6 linked regions of the Macaca fascicularis genome follow. The protein of the gene in region 6 interacts with the protein of the main gene of each other region in a biochemical or structural test. Links are inferred from orthologs where the notes say so. Each region holds a gene or a part of one and is shown on either strand. Other genes may lie near its edges. The genes, in order: CHEK2, ABL1, RBBP8, RPA2, SMC1A and ATM.

Region 1 (4,293 bases), on a different chromosome or scaffold from region 6:
CCAGGCTGGAGTGCAGTGGCGCGATCTCGGCTCACTGCAAGCTCCGCCTCCTGGGTTCACGCCATTCTCCTGCCTCAGCCTCCGGAGTAGCTGGGACTACAGGCGCCCGCCACCGCGGCCGGCTAATTTTTTGTATTTTTAGTAGAGACAGGGTTTCACCGTGGTCTCGATCTTCTGACCTTGTGATCCGCCCGCCTCGGCCTCCCAAAGTGCTGGGAATTACAGGCGTGAGCCACCGCGCCCGGCCAAGATGATCTTGAATAAAGTCTTTCTGGTGTTTGAACAAGTGTGACTGAATAACGTTTTCTTTAATACCACCCTATCTTTTCCACAGCCCAGGTCCCTTCATCCCTGTCTCCCGGTTTATTTTAATTCAACCCCGTTCACACTCTACTCCCAGAGTCTGTCCTATTTCCTTATCAGTTCAGCTCTATCCACACTGCCCCATCTCTCCAAGATCGTCAGCCTCAGGGGAAAAAACTATTTATTGGACCCTTTCCCTCGAATTCTCACTTTTCCCTCAGGTCTTGCCTACAATATTAAGATTTTCATGCTTTACTCCCCAATTTCGGACTACACTTCTGCAGTCCTTTCATAAATACATCAAACCAACTCTTCCAGTCTCCCGGGCCCTGCCCCTCAAGTACCCCTTCCTCAAGCTCCGCCCCTCGACTTCTCCTTCCCTTTCCCGTAGGTACCGCCCCTCAAATCTCCCTCCCCTCTAGCCTCGGCCCCCCTATTTCCTCTAACTTCAGCGCCCGCCCCTCCAGTCCCGTTCGTCTCCCTTCTCCACACCTCAACGCTGCTTCCCTCAGTCCCCGCCTCTCAATTTCCTCCTGAGAAATCAAGACACTTCTCTCACGCCTGCTCTCTAGACCTCCGCCCCCCTATCGGTCCCGCCTTCTCTTCCGCAAGCCAGATCCGTCCTCCCCTCTCGCAGGCCAGACCCCGACGTCTCTCTCGCCCGGGCCCGTTTCCCGAAACAGTCGCTCGTACCAGTCCATAAGGCTGAAGTAGTCTCGAGTGGGGTCAGGTGCCTGCAGCGCTCTGCACTGTGGGCAGAAGAACCTGTCCTCCCGCCCGGGGCCCCATGGGCCGCCGCAGTTCCAACAGTGGGGAGAATTGCTTTCCGCCTGCGACGCAGCATCGCAGCTTAGCAGTCTCCTTCTGGGAACCCCTGTTGGCCAAAACCCCCACACCCGGAGCAAAGCCCCGACTCTCCCCCGCCACATCTCGCCGGCGGCCTAGCTAGCCGTGGTCACCCGTGGGGAAAAGCAAAGAGAGCGTCCAACCAGACTAATGCTGCTGATTGGCTGGGGAGTCGAGGGGGCGGGATCACCCGAGGGGAACCCGAGTTCTAAGTTCCGCTCTGCCTTCTAAACTACAACTCCCAGGAAGCATTGAGGCGATGCCTGACGGCCACATCTGCTGCTCCTCATTGGTCCGGCGGCAGGGGAGAGGGTTTTGATTGGCTGAGGGTGGAGTTTGTATCTGCAGGTTTAGCGCCACTGCAGGCTGAGGCTGTGGAGAGTGTGCGGCTCCAGGTGGGCTCACGCGGTGAGTCATATTGGGAACTTCTGTTGGGTGTTTGGTGGTTCGAATCCCATCTTCAGCGTTTCGTGCGAGCGGAGTCTCCTGAGCTTCGCTTTGTCTGTATTTTTGTACTGAAGGGGGAGTGTGTGGGCGACTCTCTTCCTTTTTAGTAGATCATCCTCGAGGTGAAGTTCACTTCCCGTATTACTTACAAGCTGAAACAGGCCTGAACGGACAGGATAAGAAGGAACAGAGTTGTGTTCTTCAATATCAGAGCGAAGTTACTTTGTAAAAAGTTCTATAGATGTTAGTAGTCATTGCCATTCTTTAGATTCAATCTCTAAAATACTTATAGAGAGGCCAGTCTTAGCTACTGGGCGCTGCAGGAACTGGAAACGCACTGAGCTGTGTAGGAGGATGTTCTGCGGGTCCCTAAGTAAGTCCCTAAGTAAGTGTATGGGATAGGGTGGCCAGGAGTGGGTAGGAGGGAATCAGTCCTCCTTCGGACTTAGGTTTTCTACTTGAAAAAAAAGATTGTGTTTCACTTGAAAGCCTTCTGGACTTTTTAAAAAAAATTATTTATTTTTGATATAAAGTATACATGTATGAGTACCACATATGTACCTTTTTTTTTTTTTTTTGAGACGGAGTCTCTCTCTGTTGCCAGGCTGGAGTGCAGTGGCGCGATCTGGGCTCACTGCAACTTCTGCCTCCTGGGTTCAAGCGGTTCTCCTGCCTCAGCCTCCTAAGTATCTAGGATTATAGGTGCCGGCCACCATGCCCGGCTAGTATTTTTAGTAGAGATGGGGTTTTACCATGTTGGCCAGGCTGGTCTTGAACTCCTGACCTCAGGTGATCCACCCGCCTTGGCCTCCCAAAGTGCTGGGATTACAGGTGTGAGCCACTGCACCCAGCCTAATTTCAGTTTTTTGAGGAATCACAATACTTTTGTGATTAGTGGCTATACTAATTTGCATTCCCACCAATGGTGTATGTGAACAGGGCAAGGTCAGACATAACTAGGTCCGTGAACATTTGTGTTTTTCCACAAGATCAGACTTATTGATGTTTTATTTTAATTGTAAAAGCCACGAGCTACATGGAGTTCCCAAGGAAGCAATTTTCTGTAGTACTACCTGTTTACTTGGTAGTCAGAACCGTGGGCACACAGGCTGAAGCCATTCCACAAGTCAGTCAGCATTGTAAATTATACACAATAGTATATTTATTTAATATATAAATGTTATAGGTTAAAAATCTTACATTAAAGTAACATTTAACATTCAGAGAAAAGGGGATAGGGAAAGCGGTTATCAAACCAGTCCAAGGAGAGCAATGTGGACAAAGAGAGTGTTTTGGCTTGATCTGGGGTGTCAGTGTCTTGTAAGGAAGAGTTTTTTGATGTGGATGAGCCTTTGGTGGCAGATGCTGGGTGTTAATCGTGAGTGACAGCAAGATGGTGTCTGTTAGGACAGCCATTCTGACCTAATAAAGTCCTGGTCTTATGACCACAAAATTTTCTGGTAAGGACTAATAACAAAAGCGTGTACATGTTTATGTCCTTATCTGGTTTAGTACCGTCTTTTTTTGTTTTTTTTTTTGAGACAGAGTCTCGCTTTGTCTCTCGCAGGCTAGAGTGCAGTGGCGTGATCTCGGATCACTGCAACTTCCGACTCCCTGGTTCAAGCGATTCTCCTGCCTCAGCCTCCCAAGTAGCTGGGATTACAGGCACGTGACACCACGCCCAGCTAAGTTTTGTATTTTTAGTAGAGTCGGGGTTTCACCATGATGGCCAGGATGGTCTTGATCTCCTGACTTTGTGATCCGTCTGCCTTGGCCTCCCAAAGTGCTGGGATTACAGGCGTGAACCACTGTGCCTGGCCAGTACAGTCTTTATTAATTAGACAAACATCTGGTCCCTATTGGCATAATGCCTTTTAAAATACAAGAGCCTTTTTCTAAGATAAAATTACTTATGTCAAGAGCACTCTGTACAGTTCCCCTTTCTCCACATTCTTCCCAGCATCTGTTATTGCCTGTCTTTTATTCAAACCATTTTAACTGGGGTGAGATGGTATCTCATTGTAGGTTTGTTTGTTTGTTTGTTTGTTTGTTTGAGACAGAGTCTTACTCTGTAGCCTAGGCTGGAATGCAGTGGTGCGATTTTGACTCACTGCATTCTCTGCCTCCCAGGTTCAAGCGATTCTCCTGCCTCAGCCTCCCAAGTAGCTGGGATTATAGACACCTGCCACCATGCCCAGCTAATTTTCATATTTTTAGTGGAGACAGGGTTTCACCATGTTGGCCAGGCTGGTCTCAAACTCCTGACCTCAAGTGATCTGCCCGCCTCCGCCTCCCAAAGTTCTGGGATTACAGGCATGAGATACTGTGCCCAGGCCTCACTGTAGTTTTGATTTGTTATTTCTCCAATGATCAGTGATGTTGAGCATTTTTTTATATACCCGTTGGCCATTTGTATGTCTTCTTTTGAGAAATGTCTGTTCGGATCTTTTGCCCATTTCTTTTTTTTGAGACAGAGTCTCACTCTGTCACCTAGCCTGGAGTGCAGTGGCGCGATCTCGGCTCACTGCAATCTCCGTCTCCGTTTCCTGGATTCAAGTGATTCTCATGTCTCAGCCTCCAAAGTAGCTGGGACTACAGGCACGAGCCACCACGCCCAGCTAATTTTTTGTATTTTTAGTAGAGATGTGGTTTCGCCATGTTGGCCAGGCTGGTCTTGAAGTCCTGACCTCAGATGAT
Region 2 (3,381 bases), on a different chromosome or scaffold from region 6:
CTCATCTACACAAAGATCTAAAACACCTGGCTCAAGGAACATAAGTGAGGACGCCTGGGGGCTTAGGGCGGAAAGGTGGAGAGAGAACAGGTGCAGGTGGGGAGGGATTTGCCCTCAGTCAGCAAGGAGCACAGGACCTGACCTCGTCACCCCACTTCCATGTCGCTGCGACAGCCTGACACCGCCAGTCAGACGTGGCTTGTACAGTGGCACAGCCCACTCCCAGTGATGCTGGTGGGGCCAAGCTGCCGGCAGGTAAGTGCCAAGGGTACAGGAAGGGTCAAAGCATAGCAGGGCAAGTGCCTGAAAGATGGCTGTGGGCACCCAGGCCGCAGAGGCTCTGGGTAGCTGGGGGCAACCTGCCACTATTCTGCTCTTAAGACCTGATGCTGGACCCCAGCCCTGTTGGGAAAACCGGAACCCACTATATCCCGGCCGCCCCCCCATCACAGGCTCAGAACAACAGGGCAGGATCACAGGCCGAAGCAATCTGCCAAGGATTCTAATGTAAACACTGATTTATTTAAAAAATACTACAGAGGACAGATTTGGATTCAAAAAAAACACAGAGAATCATATACAGAAACAAAATGCACTGGACCCAGAGAAGCAGAGGAGCCACCACAGGCATCCGAGGGAGCAGGGCAGGGCGCTGTGCACACGCCACTTATAAAAGAGCGTCTATAAAAGATGCATACCAACAGATGCGTGTAAAATAGAGTGGCACGTCACGTTAACAGAAAGAAGGGACCAGTACCTCATGGAAACGGGCAGTCGGGGGACCTGGGTGGGCGCTCTGCTTTGTCTTCAAGGCCGCTGTCGGTGACTAGTGCCTCCCTCAGGCTGTGTCACACCCGTCGGGGGCAAAGAGGTGATGTGCTGTAAGAACCGCATAAAACGATCCAGAGGAAACCATTTCTACCAGAAAAATAAAGTACAAGTTTAGGTGATGAGTACAAAGCTAGGGCCTGTGCGAGGCTGCTGGCACGAGGCAGCGTGGGAGGCGGGAAGGTGGCTCCTCCTGGCTCTCCCAGCGTAAAGCCTCGGGGGCGGCCACCTGCCCACTGCTCTTGGAGTTAGCTGTTCTGTCAAGGTCCAGGAGACCCCGGGTCCCTGCCCAGAGTCACAGCCCCTGTACCTGGGCTCCAGCCTGGGGCAGCCTCGGGGAGAAGACGGCAGGCGTGCTCTGTGAAACACTCGAGGCTTTCAGTCAGGGGCTCCATTTGTGGTTTTCCTAACACTCCCTGATGACCCCCCACAGAACATGAGGCTATGTCACTCACGGTAATTAAATAAGACATTCGCCCAGTTAGAGTGCAGCCAGGACCAGGACTGCCCAGGCCCTTTCCTCCCGCCTGTGCGCAGGTGCCCGGTGGCAGCTCCGTTCTCTCTCAGGGTGGCTACAGAGAGGCAGGGCTTTGAAATGCTTCAAGAAAAGCAAAGACTGTCTTGTTCCAAAGGAAAGGGCCTTGGAAGAATCTACTTTGTCTTAGAGGAGTGGGGGAGGGGAAGGGCCCTTTCAGGGCACCCAGATGTGTGAAAGGAAAGTTCACTCTGGGCCCTTGCAGACCTGCCTGGGCCCAGTCTGGGGATATTTGGCACCAGCTGTTCACCCAACTAGCCACTGCCTCCCTTGTCCCCTGCCTCCATTCTGTCGGGGGAGGGATGTTGGCAGTGACAGTGACCTGCCACCCTTGAGACTCAAGCTTTCTTGCCAGGATTCACAGTGCACGTCACAAGAGAGCAAGAGCTGCGCTCTGGGGATGTGGAGAGGACAGATGGAAAGCACATGCCCCGTGCCTCGATCCTTTTCAGCTCCCACCTGCCCAGGACTCAAAGGCTGGTTGGCTTTAGCACCCTGTTTTCCACCCAAATCAAGAGCTGTCCTGCACATGAGGAAATGGCGAGTGCACCCCACCCCGGGCAGCAGCGGAGGGCAGAGTGACCAGCCGTGATGCATGCCCGTGTGTGCCCTTCCCGAAATGTGGTTCTTGAAACATGTCTTCAGCACAGGACAGGCAAGGCCAGGGAGTGCAGGCAGAGGGCCTGATGCACAAGGCCTCGGTTCAGGCTTCCATTCTTGGAGAAGTGGAAGGAGAAGCCCAGCCAGGGGAGGAGGGGCTCCAGAGAGAAAAAATGAAAAGGACACTCCACATCAGCTGTTCCCACCTGGCCTGGAGAGCTCAGTCTGGAGCACTAGGTGGGAGCGGGGCTGGCGGGTCCTGGCATGCTGACTGCAGTCCACGGAGCAGGAACTCCACAGATAAAACTCGAGGACAGAGATGGAGCAGGGAGCCCGGGTGGGGAAGAGGAAGGTGCGGGAGGGTAGGCGGTGCAAACGTAGGTAGTAGAGCTGGACTCCACAGGGCCCTCAGCTCTGCCTGGTGCAGAGCTCCTGGGCCAAGGTGCTGACTCACTGGTCCCTTGTCAGCCACTGTCACGGGTATGGGAGAGCCCGCATGTGCTGCAGGCAGCTCCGGCGGGCCTGACACCTGACCCCTGACTGCTGCTACCTCTGCACTATGTCACTGATTTCCTTCACCGAACTGAGGAGCTTGCTGAAGTCCTGAGTGGCTGCCGGACCACTGCCTGCTGTCGCCGGGCAGATCTGAAGCTCCCGGAGATTATTCTCCAGTTTGTTGATGGCCTCTCGGAAGGCAAACTTGTTCCTCATTTGCTGGATGGAATCCACGTAGCTCACGCAGAACGTGTAGAGGTTTTTGCCGGCCTCGAGCACTGCACTGTGGCTGGCCATCTGCTCTGAGTTCCTAGAGATGGCGAGGCACAGCGCCTCGGTGCTGTCTAGGACCACGCCCTTGGTGATGGCGCCACTGGCGATCCGCTCTGGAGGTTGGCGGGTTTTCCGAAGAGACACTCGGGTTGATATGAGAGGGATGAAGGCAGTGGAAGACGGCTGGTCCCCTGCCAGGGCTGAGGATGCTGTTGGCAACGTGGAGGGAATGGGGGCTGGGCTGATGGGGGTCCCCGACGGCTTGGTGGACTGTGGCTTTGGAGTGGCCGGGAGCACGGGCTTTTTGAGTCCCTCTCCTGGCTGGCTGGGCTTGGCAGCATCACTGTTCACAGCATCAACCAGGCTCGTGGCTTTTGTCTTTGCACCCGGGCCTGCCTCCCCAGCCGCCTCCTGGCTCGGGCTCTGCGAGGGCTTTCCTCCAGCCTTCCCTGCAGAGGCTGCTGGTGGGGGCGGCGGGGCAGGTTTGAGCCTGGACAATTTCCCCTTGTCCCTTCCTGGCGACTCAGAGGAGTGCTTGTGCCTCCTTATTCTGGACTCCTCGGCGGGGCCCTTGCTGGTGCCTCCTGGTGCACCTGAGCCTGCTTTGCTGGTGGGGGTCACTGGCTCAGCTGCAGCAGGGGTCCCTAAGG
Region 3 (4,271 bases), on a different chromosome or scaffold from region 6:
CGAGGTCAGGAGATCGAGACCATCCTGGCTAACACGGTGAAACCCCGTCTCTACTAAAAATACAAGAAAATTAGCCGGGCGAGGTGGCGGGCGCCTGTAGTCCCAGCTACTCGGGAGGCTGAGGCAGGAGAATGGCGTGAACCCGGGAGGCGGAGCTTGCAGTGAGCCGAGATCGCGCCACTGCACTCCAGCCTGGGGCACAGAGCAAGACTCCGTCTCAAAAAAAAAAAAAAAAAAAAAAAAAGAGATTAGGGTTTGAAGTGGTAGTCACGTTCATTATCAATGGTAATCCCATATATATTTAGCCATTGTCCTAAAAATGCTTGGGGCAATAATGATACAGATTAAAATACAAAAACCAATGATTTCTTAGTTCACCAAAGATTCATTAACACACTATACAACATAATTTTACCTTTTTAGATTAGATTTCATGTAGTATTCAGAAGAGTCAATGTAGGGTAGTGAAAAAATTACTGGTCTTGCTGGTAGTCAGGAAACCTGGATGTTCTGGCTCCGAATCGACCCTTAGATTATATAATAGTGATTTAGCTATATTTTGGGGCTTTTCATTTCTTAACTCAAAAATGAGGTGTCAGATTCATTGGTTATTCTTTAAATGTCCCTCTTAGGTAAAAAATGTCATAATTCTAAGTGCTTTTAGTGGAAAACACATGAAGATATTCAGAAGGGAAAGAAGTTGCAGTTGTTAAGAAAGCTAGCATTGTTGACAAAAAGAGTTATGTGAAATTGTGTGACTGGGAATAAGAAGAAATGCATCCTCGACTAAAAGAGTAAAAAAATTTTAAATGAGTGGAACACTTTTTGACTAGGCGCTGAGATATGTTGGTCTGTATAAAATACACACTCCTAATTTGATTGACAAATTTATATGTCCTGGGTTTTAGCAAAAATATCACAATGTATCAATATTTTAAATGACTCAATTTATGGAAAATATATAAAAGTAATATTTAATAGGACTTACCTACATTTGAAAATGAAAATTCCATTAAATGAAAACTGTGCAATCCTCTTCCAAAATACAGAGTTAAGCTTGAAATTTTACCCATGGATTTTATGTAAAATGTATATCTAGTTCCTAAATAGCTTTCTTCAAAACTATAAACATAAATGATGCTCAATAAATAAATTAGAATCCCAAATTAAATTTATCTTTAAACAGTAAGCCCTATGTTTTAAACACAGTGTGGTTTAAATTTTTTAAATTACCACATACAATATATTCACCAGAAATACTAACAATGTGCTCTATTGGTATATATATTACCTGAAAACTAGGTTTCATGTAGTAAATTCAGAAAAATTCAGCCAATTGAAAGTTTTGATCCATATTACCAAAAACTTGTCAAAATACAATTTGTGCTGAATAAAATTAATATTGGTTTGCTGAATCAGCACATTGCTTTTGCAGATACAACATTACATAGCTTTTCAGCAGTTTACCTGGATTACCAGAAATTCTATGCAGAACTGCCTAGAAGTAGGACTATGAAGCATCCAAGGGTTTTCCCTGCAAAAAATGAAATCTCATCTGAACGTTTATTTACACTTTTATTCTGTCAACATTCTAAGGAAACTAATGTTACAGCCTTTGAGTTAGAAAATAATATTATAGCCTTTGAGTTTGAACATAATGACAAAGTGGGAACCCTAGGGACAATGAAAAGGATGCATCAGCCTTGCTCAGTTCAAAGCAAAGTCCTATTAAGATGACAGGAAAGCATTCAGTATAAATACGTTAAAAATTTTTTTTAAATTCCCAGATAAAATCGTATGTCAGCTGTTATGTTAAATTAAATGCCCCAGAAGACATGTGCTTCGATTCAATCTAATATCAGTAAATAGAGGGGTAGGATGGTATGCCAACATAAATCTAAAGGGATTGGTAACTTTCATTTTACATGATACAAACTACTAAAATAAAGTAATTGGATTAAGTAAAGAGAGAGATAAAAGGAAGATTTTTAATATAAATGGAAGGAAGATCCAAGTATTCTTTAACCTAAAAATTTTTTCAGACCTAATAGGCATGACAAAACCTGTCTTCATTCCTTTCTATTCAGCTCAGCAAGTGCTTTTGAGCTCCAATAGTTAATCAGTTACCAGATTCCACAATCTTTGTTTTTCACACTCCTCAATTTTTGCTGTGAATTGTTCTAATGCATGTACTTAGGATCACCAGCAGGCCAATACTTTTTTTGGCCTTAAAAAGGCAATTATTATTTATCCACAATTAGATTTACCATATAAAATTGTTACCATATAGCAACAGCCTATAAAACATAATAGTTACATTATGAAAGAAGTAGATGGCTTAATATAAATCATTAATATTTGAAATTTATTTGGCAAAATTATTCAGTCTAGCTTTTAAAATTACTATAGCCATGCACAACTTACAAAAAAGCATAGTAAGAGAATATTATATACCAAATAAACTTTATGCAAACAAATCAATGAACATAATGCAAGTGTTATAAAGCAATATCTAGCTTTACAGAAAAGGTATAATGCAGCTATTACTATGTTAAAAATCGATTATCTTTTTAAACATCATTTCTTAACTTTCCAAAATGCATAGAAAACTGAGAAATTTAAAAAATATACTTACCCTTCAATTTATTTAGAAACCTCTGCTCTTGGTGAAAAGCAGAAATTGTTTCACTGCTCACTTTCCCTGAAGCTATGAACTTAAACATTAAATCAGTGAACACCACCTCTGGACCACACTAGTTTGCTAGACACTACTGCTATGTGGAAGAGTTCTGCTGCATCTAAGCTATATACTGTGTGCAATGGATAACCTAATATGCCTTTCATTTAACTGGCTGGGCAGGTTTCTACCGTCTGTGGAACATGGAATCAAACCAGAATATGTTGGCACAACAGGCCAGTAAAACCGGTTCTTCCGTAGATCCAGAACCTGTCCAACCAGTCTGTATCAAAGGCTAGCCCAACATGCTGCAGCGGCTCAGCTCTGCTAAGCTTGTACTGGGTGAGTTATCCCCACCTCCCGTGAACTCCCAACAAACTACTCAGAATGTTGTAGCCTCCAGCAAAATAATTCAGAGTTCTAGTGGGAGGGGTAGATCTGTGTCAGGTATAGCAAGGGTGCATTGTTATAAGACTCTCATGGTAGACATATATAAGCAAGTGGTCTGTTATCTTCAGAGGTAGGTAATCCTTTTAAACATGTATTCTGGGGCATTCTGCTGACTACAGCCTCTAGAAATAGATTACCTATGATGAAGATGAATCCTATAATGCCTGACCTTTTCCACTAGTCTGCTTGGCTTTGCTTAATCCAGCTTAACCTTGAGGAGAGAGATTGATATTCCTCACAGGGTAGTGGGCTTGAGAGCTAGAAGGAAGTATTTCTAGAAGGAGAGAAACAAGGTGTAGGTTGACCAAACATTTGCCTGGGTGTGTTATCTTCCTTGTTCTCAAATGATTCTCATACCATTCCAGTCTAAAATTGGAAAAACTCCTAATTCTACATACTAGGGACAACTTAGAGAGGTTTTGCTCTGAATATTCAACGGTTCAACACAGAGTATTTATATCAACTATGTTTTAAGAACTGTGCTAGGTACAGGGTTCACAGTGTGAGTAAAATTAGTAAAGATGAGAGCAACTTCAAAGTTCCCGATTAAGCATGTCGAGTAAACTTTTGGAAAGAAGAAATGAGCAGCAAAACATTACATTTTGACAGAAATTAGTTTGTATTAAGAGAGATCATGTGAGATTTGTGCTTACTCTCTCATAATACTTGCACATTTAGAAGCATCGTTTCCTGTCTACTGCCATAGTGTTTCTGAAACTTTTGTGCTTAAGAGTCATCTGAAGTGTTGATTAAGAGCACAGATTCCTGGGTCTAACCGCCACAGATTCTGCTTCAGCATTCAATAGGAATGTTGCCCAAGCACTTCTAGTGATTCTGATGCAACTGTTGCAGGGACCATAGCACATATTCCATGCTCAGTTTCTTTTCTATTTTTATACCTCTTAATTAAAAAGAATACATATGAACCAAAAGTTGCCATTTTTATTTTTGTATTTCTAGTGTCTAGAACACTGACGGACACTTAGAAGGTACTTAATAAATGCTTATCAGAGTCAAGCACTTGCTAGATCTCAGAGGAATCACAACTAGTAATGACTATACGAATCAAACTCCATTAAATACTATAATTATAATAATTGAGATGGGAGCTCAGAAATGGGAGTGAGTATGACTATAAGTATGT
Region 4 (3,500 bases), on a different chromosome or scaffold from region 6:
CCCATACCATCCTCCCAAAGTGCTAGGATTTCAGGCCATGAACCACCACACCTGGCCCTGAGGGCTTTCTAATACTAGAGTCAACAAACCTTTTGTGTGGTCCTAGATGGACTTGCCAAAGTCAATTCACACAATGGAAAATACTATGGAGAAATTTCAATACGAATCAATAAATATAATTTCAGGGAAAAAATATAATAGTACATAATTTTTCCTACTTAGCCAGTAAGTTGGAAGGAAGACAGCAAAATGCTGTCCTGAAGGGGGCTACTCTCTGAATATGCACTGACAATCCTTGGAGCTAAGAGCTCAGCCTATAATTACATGTCTACACCTAAGGGTTGTCACAGGCCCCAGCTGTCCAGGCCAGTGTCAGAGGAACTCTTAATTCTGAGAGAAACATCAGTGTTTCATCTGAAATAAAATACGGTGACAAAGCTAATGGAGAAAGTGTTCGGAGGACTTAGTGATGTCTTTCTCTGGCTCGGCCTTCAAAATGTCAAGGAAATCAAAGCTGGAACACAAAAGTAACCTGTGTTCTTCCAGGGAAGAGAAAAAGCTAGGCAAGTGAGGCTACTCACCTGGCTGTTGGCTTTGCTCAGTACCATGTGTGCATTGATCACTTCCAGAATATGTGTGGTGAACTCATTCATATCCTCCAGAGGCATGATTTTAAAGGCTACCAGGCTCTTTTTGTTCTATCAAAATGAAGAAAAAAATGTGAATAAAATATGAACATACATTAATTTCAGGTCAACAATGTGGCTCTTTTCTTGGTTATAATATTAATATTTTGCCAATATGAGAGAAATGTTATATACTCTCAGCAGTAATCCAAACATGGTCAAACATGAGAAAAACACTAAAATTAATAGCTAAGGGACATTAATAATTTTCCCAAGGTTGCATAACGGAGCAAAATCTAGACTCCTGACTCCGAATCTAGTGTTCTCCTTTCTCCAACTAATGAACGCCACAGATGGCAATTGTAGGAGATTCTGTTCTTTCTTTACTATTCTGTCAATTTCATGTTAAGGTAAAAAAAAAAAAGAAAGAAGAGTTATTTCCTTTTGAAGAAGAGAGTAAGAAATAACTTCCCATTAAACAGGGGGACTTAAGTATTTTAACTATCCAAAAGCCATGACATGAATCTAGAAACTGCTTCATGCAAAAACACTTTAACTGCTATTTTATTCTGACTTTACCTGAAAAGATCTCAGGTGGCCTGCCACTTTCACATATGTTTCTGGAGGAACCACAGTGTTTTCACTGCTGGCATCCTAACATAAAATACAAACATGTCATTAAGGTTTTAGTGATGCTGGTGAAAGCCTCTTTAACATTTCTATATTATGTAGAGAAAGAGAAAGTTACAAAGTAGAAGAGTTAAAGGATCCTAAAATGGCATTAAGGAGTTTGCCCTGCCTTTTACAACTTACTTTTTTGTAAAACCAGGAATTAGAATAAAAATATCTCTAAAGGTAATTCTCAGTTCCAAAGTTCTGTAGCACATCATAAAAAAGTAAACAATTATGACACTCTCATTCAAGCTCTTAGGCACACAATTTTCTTTTTTTTTTTTTTTTTGTGAGGGAGTCTCGCTCTGTCGCCCAGACTGGAGTGCAGTGGCATGATCTTGGCTCACTGCAACCTCCCCCTCCCAAGGGAGGGTTTGAGTGATTCTCCTGCCTCAGCTTCCCCCATAGCTGGGATTATAGGCGCCCGCCACCATGCCCCGCAGGCACACAATTTTATGGTGGATATACTTACTGGCAAAGCAATTCTACTTTTGGGAATTTAAGGAAGTAATTAAGAACATGCATTAAGATTTAGATTTATCATAGTACAGAATATTAAAAATTGTAAAACAACCTAAATATGCAACATAAAGTACACATTTCTATATGATAGGATACTCCACACTGTTGCAAATGATAACACAGAATTCTATTTACTGTCTGGAAAAACAAGTCATGACACATGGAAAAAAGCTGATTTCCCATTTGGGACAATATACACTAAACTGTTTAATGGTTGACTAGGATAATTACAAACTATTTTAATATTTATCAGTTTCCTAGACTATGGACACATTATTTATAAGAAAAATACATTAGTTCACTTTGGGAGGCCGAGACGGGCGGATCACGAGGTCAGGAGTTCGAGACCATCCTGGCTAACACGGTGAAACCCCGTCTCTACTAAAAAATACAAAAAACTAGCCGGGCGAGGTGGCGGGCGCCTGTAGTCCCGGCTACTCGGGAGGCTGAGGCAGGAGAATGGCGTAAAAACCCGGGAGGCAGAGCTTGCAGTGAGCTGAGATCCGGCCACTGCACTCCAGCCTGGGCGACACAGCGAGACTCCGACTCAAAAAAAAAAAAAAAAAAAAAAAATACATTAGCTGATTTTTTTTTTTTGAGATGAAGTGTCTTGCTCTGTCATCCAGCCTGGAGTGCAGTGGCACGATTTCAGCTCATTGCAACCTCTGCCTCACGGGTTCAAGCAATTCTCCCGCCTCAGCCTCCCGAGTAGCTGGGGCTACAGGCACGCAACACCATGCCAGGCTAATTTTTGTATTTTTAGTAGAGATGGGGTTTCACCATGTTGGCCAGGCTGGTCTCAAACTCCTGACCTCAGGTGATCCACTCGTCTTGGCCTCCCCAAAGTCCCGGGATTACAGGCATGAGCCACCGCACCTGGTCAAAAAGACTATTTTTTTAAAACAACTATCATACTGGCAAAAATTTAAGACAAAAACCCATTGTTAGGCCGGATGTGGTGGCTCACGCCTGTAATCCCAGAACTTTGGGAGGCCAAGGCAGGAGGATCACCTGAGGTCAGGAGTTAGAGACCAGCCTCAACATGGAGAAACCCCATCTCTACTAAAATTACAAAATTAGCTGGGCATGGTGGTACACGCCTGTAATCCCAGCTACTCGGGAGGCTGATGCAGGAGAATTGCTTGAACCTGGGAGGTGGAGGTTGCAGTGAGCCGAGATTGCGCCATTGCACTCTAGCCTAGGCAACAAGAGCGAAACTCCGTCTCAAAACAAAACAACAACAAACAAAAAAACCCATTGTTAGAAAGGGTATGGAGGATGGGCACAGTGGCTCACACCTGTAATCCCAGCATGTTGGGAGGCTGAGGTGGGAGGATTGCTTGAACCCAGGAGTTTGAGACCAACCTGGGCAACACGGTGAGATCCTATTTCTTAAAAAAAAAAAAAAAAAAAAAAAAAGTTAAGGGTATGGAAACTAACTGGGCACTCTCATGCATGATTGAAGTGTAAACTGGTACCTTTATAGAAGACAGTACAAAAATGCAAAAATTAAGATGTTAAAAAAAAAGTGAAGTGTGTATTTCCCCCCAGAAAACCTACTTTTAGGAATATATCATTATTTTATTTTTTTGAGATGGAATTTTGCTCTTTTTGCCCAGGCTGAATGCAATGGCACAATCTTGGCTCACTGCAATCTCTGCCTCCCGGGTTCAAGCGATT
Region 5 (3,500 bases), on a different chromosome or scaffold from region 6:
TAAAAAGGTTAAAAAAAAAAAAAAAAAAAAGGCCAGGCGGGGGTTGGGGCCAGGTGTGGTGGCTCATGCCTGTAATCCCAGCACTTTGGGAAGCCAAGGTGGGCGGATCACAACGTCAGGAGTTCGAGACCAGTCTGGCCAGCATGGTGAAACCCCATCTCTACTAAAAATACAAAAAATTAGCCGGGCATGGTGGAGTACACCTGTAGTCCCAGCTACTCGGGAGGCTGAGGCAGGAGAATTGCATGAACCTGGGAGGCGGAGATTGCAGTGAGCTGAGATCATGCCACTGTACTCCAACCTGGGCGACAGAGCAAGACTCCATCTTGAGGAAAAAAAAAAAAGGCTGGCACTATGGCTCACACCTGTAATCCAAGCACTTTGGGAGGCTGAGGCAGGAGGATCACTTGAGCCCGAGTTCCAGACCAGTCTGGGCAACATGGCAAAACCCCATTTCTACAACAACAACAACAAAAAAAACCCAGAAAAACAAAAATTAGCCGGGTGTGGTGGCAAACATCTGTAGTCCCAACTACTCAGGAGGCTGAGGTGGGAGGACCACCTGAGCCTGGGAAGGTCAAGGTTGCCACTGCACTCCAGTCTCAGCGAAAAAAAAAAAAAAAGGAAAACAGGTAATCTTAAAAAAAGAAATTATTTCACCTGATCCTCCCAACAATGCCATGAGATAGGTATCATTATACCATTCTGCAGATACTGCAGCTTACAGAAGTCAAGTCACTGCCAAAGATAACGAGTTGTGGAGCTGGGGCTGTAATCCAGGAATCCAGGAAATCAAGTTTAGAGTTAGCACTCTTAACCACTATAACTATGCCATACTGCCCTCCTGATTTCTGTTCTTTAAGGCCTACCTACATAAACTCACACAGTTCTAAGAGCTGACCCTTGCCTATGACAGCATCTGGTTTTCCAAGGATGTCAGGTTAGAGCCTCAAGGGCATCCCAATATCTTCTACCAATCCTCCCACCTACCGCTTCTTGGCGATTTCATTCTGCCGTTTCACCTTCTCTTCCTCAAACTCCCGGATGTTGCGCACACCGATCTCCCGACAAAACTCTTCAAACACCTCATCCTCTACCTGAGAAGAGAAGCCAGGGAGGGCATCGGCCCTTTTAGTCTGTCCTGCTTCCAGTCCCAGTCCTGCCCTGACGCACACGCTGGCATGGCCCACACCCTACCAACCTGGTTCATCTTCTCCTTCAAGTCTTTCATCTCCCTCTCTCGGCTCTGAATGATCCTCTTGATATCATTAATGCGAGGCCCAAAGTTGGCTAGCTCACTCTCCAGCTTGGATTTTTCCTACAGGCAATGGGTTGAGAGGACAAAACAGACCAGGGTCCTTGGAGGAAAAGCTACCTTGACTGCATTGGTCCCACAGTCAGGAAGGGCTAGCTCTCCACATCTGAGAGAACCTGGCTTAGCACTACTGCCCTAGTCAAGTCTCCATGATGTTGCACAGAAGCCATCACATGGCTTCTTCCCTGGCATCCAGTTCAGCCAGCTTCAATCCACAGGGCTGGGCACACAGTAAACATCATTAGGTATAGGTCCCAATCTTTGATCTATAACCCCTGGGGGCAGAGTTGTTTCAGAATTCAGTTTAGGGTTTTTGAGTTTAGAAAAAGATAGATAAATACACACACTACACATAAGACCTCCAGGGTGGTCTGGGGAAGTACCCGATAATAATAATAAAAAAAAAAACAATATACCTAGAACAGTACTGCGCCCCACCCCACCACTACCACAAGCAGGGACTGAAATGCCCACAGCTCACTTTCAAAAATTCAAATTGCTGAATGAACAAATTATGCTAACAATAGCACCTAACATAAACTGAACACATAGCAGTCTTAGGCACTTTACATGTTAACTCATTCAATAATGACCCTATAAAGTAGGTATCATTTATTTATTTATTTTGAGACAGAGTCTCTGTCACCCAGGCTGGAGTAAAATGGCGCGATCTTGGCTCACTGCAACCTCCACCTCCCAGGTTAAAGCAATTCTCCTGCCCTCAGCATCCCAAGTAGCTGGGATTACAGGCGCCTGCCACCATGCTCGGCTAATTTTTTATATTTGTAGTAGAGACAGGGTTTCATCATGTTGGCCAGGCTGGTCTCCAACTCCTGATCTCAGGTGATCCACCGTGTCCGGCCGAGTAGGTATTATCTTAACTTGCATTTCACAGATTAAGATGTGAAGGTTGACACTGAGAGGTGAAATTACTTGCCTAATGTCATACTCAACGCAGAGCCAAGCTCTGAATCCCTGGCTGTCTGACTCTATGCTATACTTGGCTTCCTGCGGCAGGCTGGGAGGAGACAGGGAAGTGAAACAAGTTCCCCACCCTCAGAGAAACCTAGGCCAGGAATGTGTGGATGGCCTTTGGAGAACAGGGCTGAAGGCCAGGCCCCACCTGCAGATTCAGGGCTAGATGTCGTGTCTTGGTCTGTTCTAGGTCACTCTGGGAGTACTTGAGCCGCATCTGCAGTCCATGGGCCTGAGACTGCACCTGACGCAGCTCTGCCTCTTTCCGTTTTGCCTTCATCTGCTCCTGAAGGGAACAAGAAAGAAGGGCTAGGTGGTAAGGTGGTGGTTGACCTAGGCTTAGGACTCCCACTGCTAAAAACAGCACTGCCTGTGGCTTACTTTCAGCTCCTCTGTCAAGCGCTCCTTCTTCTCTTTCAACTTGTCTACTGCTTTCTCATCCCAGCGCCGCGCCTTGGCCTTCAGGTCACTGGCCCCACCAGAGATCACTCCTGACTTCTGGAATAGGGTTCCATCCAGTGCCACTGTCTACACACAGCAGGGGGAAAAGAGAAGAGGGGGAGAAGCTGAACAAATGAATCTCCAGTACTGAGCCTGTCCAGCTTCAACCTGGGCAAGAGAATCCACACCTTGTGGCGCTGGTGGCCTCCAAAGGCAATGCGGCGGGCATCCTCCACGTTGTCACAGACAAGGGCATTGCCACAAGCATACTGCAGGGCCTTTTTGATGTGAGGTGGCTCATAGCGAATCACATCAATCACTAGCTTGGCCCCCTTCAGCTCCCGGAGTTTTTCATCTGTAGGCTTCACCTGTGGGGAGAAGCTCAGTCAGTGGCAGAACACAAACAGGGAGTACTAGAAGAGGGGCCCTTGAACACTGGCCTGACCCAATCCCCAAGAAGCCTCACCTCCAGGTAGTCAAGAGGCAAGAAGGTCTCAGGCTCCCCACGCTGTTCCTTGATATACTGAATACAGTCCCGGCCTGTCTTCTCCGAGTCCACAATAATGGCATCCATGTTCTTGCCCAAAACCTTGGTTACAGCAATCTGATACTTCTTTTGTGTGGGCTGGCACAGGTCAATGAGGCGGCCATACTGAGTAAAGTAGGAAGGGAAAACTGAAGTATGAAGCTTTTGGGAGCTGGCTCAGGAATCCTAATTCCCAGTGTGGAAAGGGGGACAGACTAGAATCTATATCAGGAAGTGAACGCA
Region 6 (3,500 bases):
TTGCAGAGATGGGGTTTTGCCATGTTGCCCCGGCTGGTCTCAAACTCCTGGGCTCAAACGATCTGCCCACCTTGGCCTCCCAAAGTTCTGGGATTACAGGTGTGAGGCATGGTGCCCTGTCTGCCTTGGTCCTACTGTAGTTAATCACAAATTAGTATGTAAGACATTGACATGTGTTCTTTCGTAAATAATTCATGCTCTGCTTCTAAGTTCATTGTGGAGAATATAGATATTAGCTTTCTGTTTTGCTTGTTTGGTTTGTTGGTATTGTAGTGGAAAATGAGATTGATATTGAAATTAATTACAAAAGTTACCTATTTTGATGTAATTAAATCCCTTTATTTAAGCCTGTCTTGAATCTGTATATTTTAGTGTAAGTAGATGTTTAAGTTAGCTAAATAGCTTGGGGAGAGTCCCCTTTGTCCTTCGATGCCTAGGTGTGTGAATTGCACAGTTAAGACAAAAGTAAGTTTATTACCTTTATAATTCTTAGAAGTTTGCTTTTTTCCCTGGGATAAAAACCCATTTTTTTTTCATTTATGTTGTATATCATGTGTGTGATTTTGTAGTTCTGTTAAAGTTTATGGCCTTTGTGTTTTACCTTAATTATTCTATGCAAGATACACAGTAAAGGTTCAGCGAGAGCTGGAGTTGGATGAACTTGCCCTGCATGCACTGAAAGAGGATCGTAAACGCTTCTTATGTAAAGCAGTTGAAAATTACATCAACTGCTTATTAAGTGGAGAAGAACATGATATGTGGGTATTCCGACTTTGTTCCCTCTGGCTTGAAAATTCTGGAGTTTCTGAAGTCAATGGCATGATGAAGGCAAGTGTTATTCAGCCCAATATTCTACCCTGTGCTTGAAAAACTTAGACGTTAGCCCCTTGATGTCAGGGATTTTGTATACCTCTTTGTATTCCTACCACTTGATCCAGTGCTCTTCACATGAGTAGCATTTTGTAGTTTTCTAAACTTTGATCCGTATTTAGAATTATTTACAAGTTCTAGCCTTGTTTCTGCAAAAGTTCCTTTGTATTATTATAATATTATATAAGCTTACAAGCTCTAAATGATGCAAGTTTGTGTGGAGGTGAGAGAATTTAGCTTGGTCCTATGTCTTTGCAGTTACCATAGGAGAGTGTCTAGAATGGGGCATTAGATTGGAGGATTTAGAAAGCAATTAAAGATGATGTGATCACAGGCGGGTTTTCCCCCTGCTGCAAAAATCTGGGATTTTTACAATAAATTACTTTTGTAAGTAGAGAAAATACATTTTTAAGAAAATGTCAAGACAGCAGTATTGTATAAGTTTGTCTTTGAAAACCTTAGATTATAGTGATGACACCTAATATTAAATTTATGTTGACAAGATATATATTGTTAGTCAATTTGAAGGTTAGAGATCAAATGTTTCTCCTGCAGTAAAAGAATAAGACTCATAATAGATACAATCAATCTCTGCTGTAGTATACACTAAATATTACTTTTGGCCTATGGGGAAAAGCAATTACTTCATTTTATTGTACACTGACTTGTCAGGAATCAAGATCATAGTCACACTCAGATCACATTTGTCTTCCTTAGATTTTTTGGAATATAAGCAGTACCAAGTATTCCAGTTCCGAATGCAGTTTAATTTAGGACTAAATATTTTGATTTACCAGTGCATTGTACCCATTATCTAGAGTACTCATTAGAAAGACCTTCAGATAAGATAAGAAATAAAGGAAAAAAATACAGTTAATGAAGTTTTGTTAACCACTTGCTTGTACTAATAGAGGAGCACTGTCTTAAAATAATTTATTTGCTTAGATGTGAGAATATTTGAAATACCTTGTTTATTAATTTTGTGTCTTTTTTTTAATGGTAGAGAGATGGAATGAAGATTCCATCATATAAATTTTTGCCTCTTATGTACCAACTGGCTGCTAGAATGGGGACCAAGATGATGGGAGGCCTAGGATTTCATGAAGTCCTCAATAATGTAAGTAAACCTGAAAATCAAACCACAATAATTATTTTCTATTATTAGTATATATTATATAAAGTATGTATACCATTCCCTCTAAGAAATGGAAATACAAAATGTTATATTTTGTCTCTTCTCACATCACATAAGTTACTCATTTTCTCTAATTCCTCATAGGCCTCTGCCTCTTTCTCACACATGCAGACATACATGCTCTACCCACTGCAGTATCTAGACAGTAATACACATTTTAATGTTAACCAAAATGAAAAATATGGATTATAATTTGTCTATTTGCATAAATCTAATAGTTCTTAATTTTCTTACAGCTAATCTCTAGAATTTCAATGGATCACCCCCATCATACTTTATTTATTATACTGGCCTTAGCAAATGCAAACAGAGATGAATTTCTGACTAAACCAGAGGTAGCAAGAAGAAGTAGAATAACTAAAAATGCGCCTAAACAAAGCTCTCAGCTTGATGAGGTATTTGGATTAAACATACATACCTTTTAGAAGTGTGATATTCAGTCTTTCCTAGAATATTTATTTTTAAAGTCTTGTGTTATTATGATGCCATCTAAAATTGGTTCAAGGCTGGCACGGTGGCTCACACCTGTAATCCCAGCACTTTGGGAGGCTGAGGCGGGTCGATCACTTGAGGTCAGGAGTTCGAGACCATCCTGGCTGACGGACATGGCGAAACCCTGTCTCTACTAAAAATACAAAAATTAGCTGGGCATGATGGTGGGCACCTGTAATCCCAGCTACTCGGGAGGCTGAGACAGGAGAATAGCTTGAACTCGGGAGGCAGAGGTTGCAGTGAGCCAAGATTGCGCCATTGCACTCCAGCCTGGGCAACAAGCGTGAATTAATTAAAATTGGTTCAAAATTCCTTAATGTTTGTCAAAGCATAGGAGATACCAGTAGTACTTTACTTTTTTCCTCACAGCAGCTGGCAAAGGGAAACAATAGATTTTTGAAAGGCACCTAAGTCATTGATGGGAGTATGTATTTTTGATGTATTTCATTTATGACTGTTTTGTTTGTATCTGAGGAATTATAATCATTCCATTGTCTAGATTTGTGCATAAATTCTGTTTTTGTTTTTCTAACTCTGAGAAGTTTAAATGTTGGGTAGTTCCTTATGTAATGTTTTTTGTTTGTTTTTTATTAATAGGATCGAACAGAGGCTGCAAACAGAATAATATGTACTATCAGAAGTAGGAGACCTCAGATGGTCAGAAGTGTTGAGGCACTTTGTGATGCTTATATTATATTAGCAAACTTAGATGCCACTCAGTGGAAGACTCAGAGAAGTATGTGTTTCAAAGAAGGAACATTACTTTCTTGCTATGTTACTCTCTGTAGACATATATTAATTATAGAGCCTAATAAGTAAATCTGCTTAAAATCACAAACGTAATCCAAAAGCTTAATTTATATCTGATAGCTTCAACATTCCCTGGTTGCTTTTTCACTTAATATCTCTTGGTAGAACTGATAATAGGTGACTACACTAAATT

The links.
Region 1: of the proteins of ATM (region 6) and CHEK2, one has a biochemical effect on the other in vitro, tested with the Homo sapiens proteins (6 studies listed by BioGRID, with this or other methods). The link is inferred for Macaca fascicularis from reciprocal best matches to the Homo sapiens genes ATM and CHEK2.
Region 2: of the proteins of ATM (region 6) and ABL1, one has a biochemical effect on the other in vitro, tested with the Homo sapiens proteins (3 studies listed by BioGRID and IntAct, with this or other methods). The link is inferred for Macaca fascicularis from reciprocal best matches to the Homo sapiens genes ATM and ABL1.
Region 3: of the proteins of ATM (region 6) and RBBP8, one has a biochemical effect on the other in vitro, tested with the Homo sapiens proteins (4 studies listed by BioGRID, with this or other methods). The link is inferred for Macaca fascicularis from reciprocal best matches to the Homo sapiens genes ATM and RBBP8.
Region 4: of the proteins of ATM (region 6) and RPA2, one has a biochemical effect on the other in vitro, tested with the Homo sapiens proteins (3 studies listed by BioGRID). The link is inferred for Macaca fascicularis from reciprocal best matches to the Homo sapiens genes ATM and RPA2.
Region 5: the proteins of ATM (region 6) and SMC1A form a complex in vitro, tested with the Homo sapiens proteins (2 studies listed by BioGRID and IntAct, with this or other methods). The link is inferred for Macaca fascicularis from reciprocal best matches to the Homo sapiens genes ATM and SMC1A.

Annotation. Positions count from the first base shown.
Region 1 is NC_088384.1:22,925,712-22,930,004, forward strand, and holds the start of CHEK2 (serine/threonine-protein kinase Chk2), read left to right. Parts: upstream 1-1,493; 5' UTR 1,494-1,544; exon of another isoform or gene 1,545-1,969; intron 1,970-4,293. Other genes in the region: iron-sulfur cluster co-chaperone protein HscB, read right to left, coding at 997-1,232. UniProt on the Homo sapiens protein: Serine/threonine-protein kinase which is required for checkpoint-mediated cell cycle arrest, activation of DNA repair and apoptosis in response to the presence of DNA double-strand breaks.
Region 2 is NC_088389.1:12,985,434-12,988,814, forward strand, and holds the end of ABL1 (tyrosine-protein kinase ABL1), read right to left. Parts: coding exon 2,510-3,381; 3' UTR 501-2,509; downstream 1-500. UniProt on the Homo sapiens protein: Non-receptor tyrosine-protein kinase that plays a role in many key processes linked to cell growth and survival such as cytoskeleton remodeling in response to extracellular stimuli, cell motility and adhesion, receptor endocytosis, autophagy, DNA damage response and apoptosis.
Region 3 is NC_088392.1:66,856,212-66,860,482, forward strand, and holds the start of RBBP8 (DNA endonuclease RBBP8), read right to left. Parts: upstream 2,801-4,271; 5' UTR 2,636-2,800; intron 1,535-2,635; exon of another isoform or gene 1,468-1,534; intron 528-1,467; 5' UTR 416-527; intron 1-415. UniProt on the Homo sapiens protein: Endonuclease that cooperates with the MRE11-RAD50-NBN (MRN) complex in DNA-end resection, the first step of double-strand break (DSB) repair through the homologous recombination (HR) pathway.
Region 4 is NC_088375.1:207,163,562-207,167,061, reverse strand, and holds part of RPA2 (replication protein A 32 kDa subunit), read right to left. Parts: intron 1,281-3,500; coding exon 1,206-1,280; intron 699-1,205; coding exon 582-698; intron 1-581. UniProt on the Homo sapiens protein: As part of the heterotrimeric replication protein A complex (RPA/RP-A), binds and stabilizes single-stranded DNA intermediates that form during DNA replication or upon DNA stress.
Region 5 is NC_088395.1:53,395,482-53,398,981, forward strand, and holds part of SMC1A (structural maintenance of chromosomes protein 1A), read right to left. Parts: intron 3,384-3,500; coding exon 3,198-3,383; intron 3,100-3,197; coding exon 2,920-3,099; intron 2,819-2,919; coding exon 2,672-2,818; intron 2,577-2,671; coding exon 2,439-2,576; intron 1,319-2,438; coding exon 1,202-1,318; intron 1,098-1,201; coding exon 991-1,097; intron 1-990. UniProt on the Homo sapiens protein: Involved in chromosome cohesion during cell cycle and in DNA repair. Central component of cohesin complex. The cohesin complex is required for the cohesion of sister chromatids after DNA replication.
Region 6 is NC_088388.1:107,338,907-107,342,406, forward strand, and holds part of ATM (serine-protein kinase ATM), read left to right. Parts: intron 1-620; coding exon 621-828; coding exon of another isoform or gene 829-867; exon of another isoform or gene 868-1,732; intron 1,733-1,873; coding exon 1,874-1,987; intron 1,988-2,301; coding exon 2,302-2,460; intron 2,461-3,154; coding exon 3,155-3,293; intron 3,294-3,500.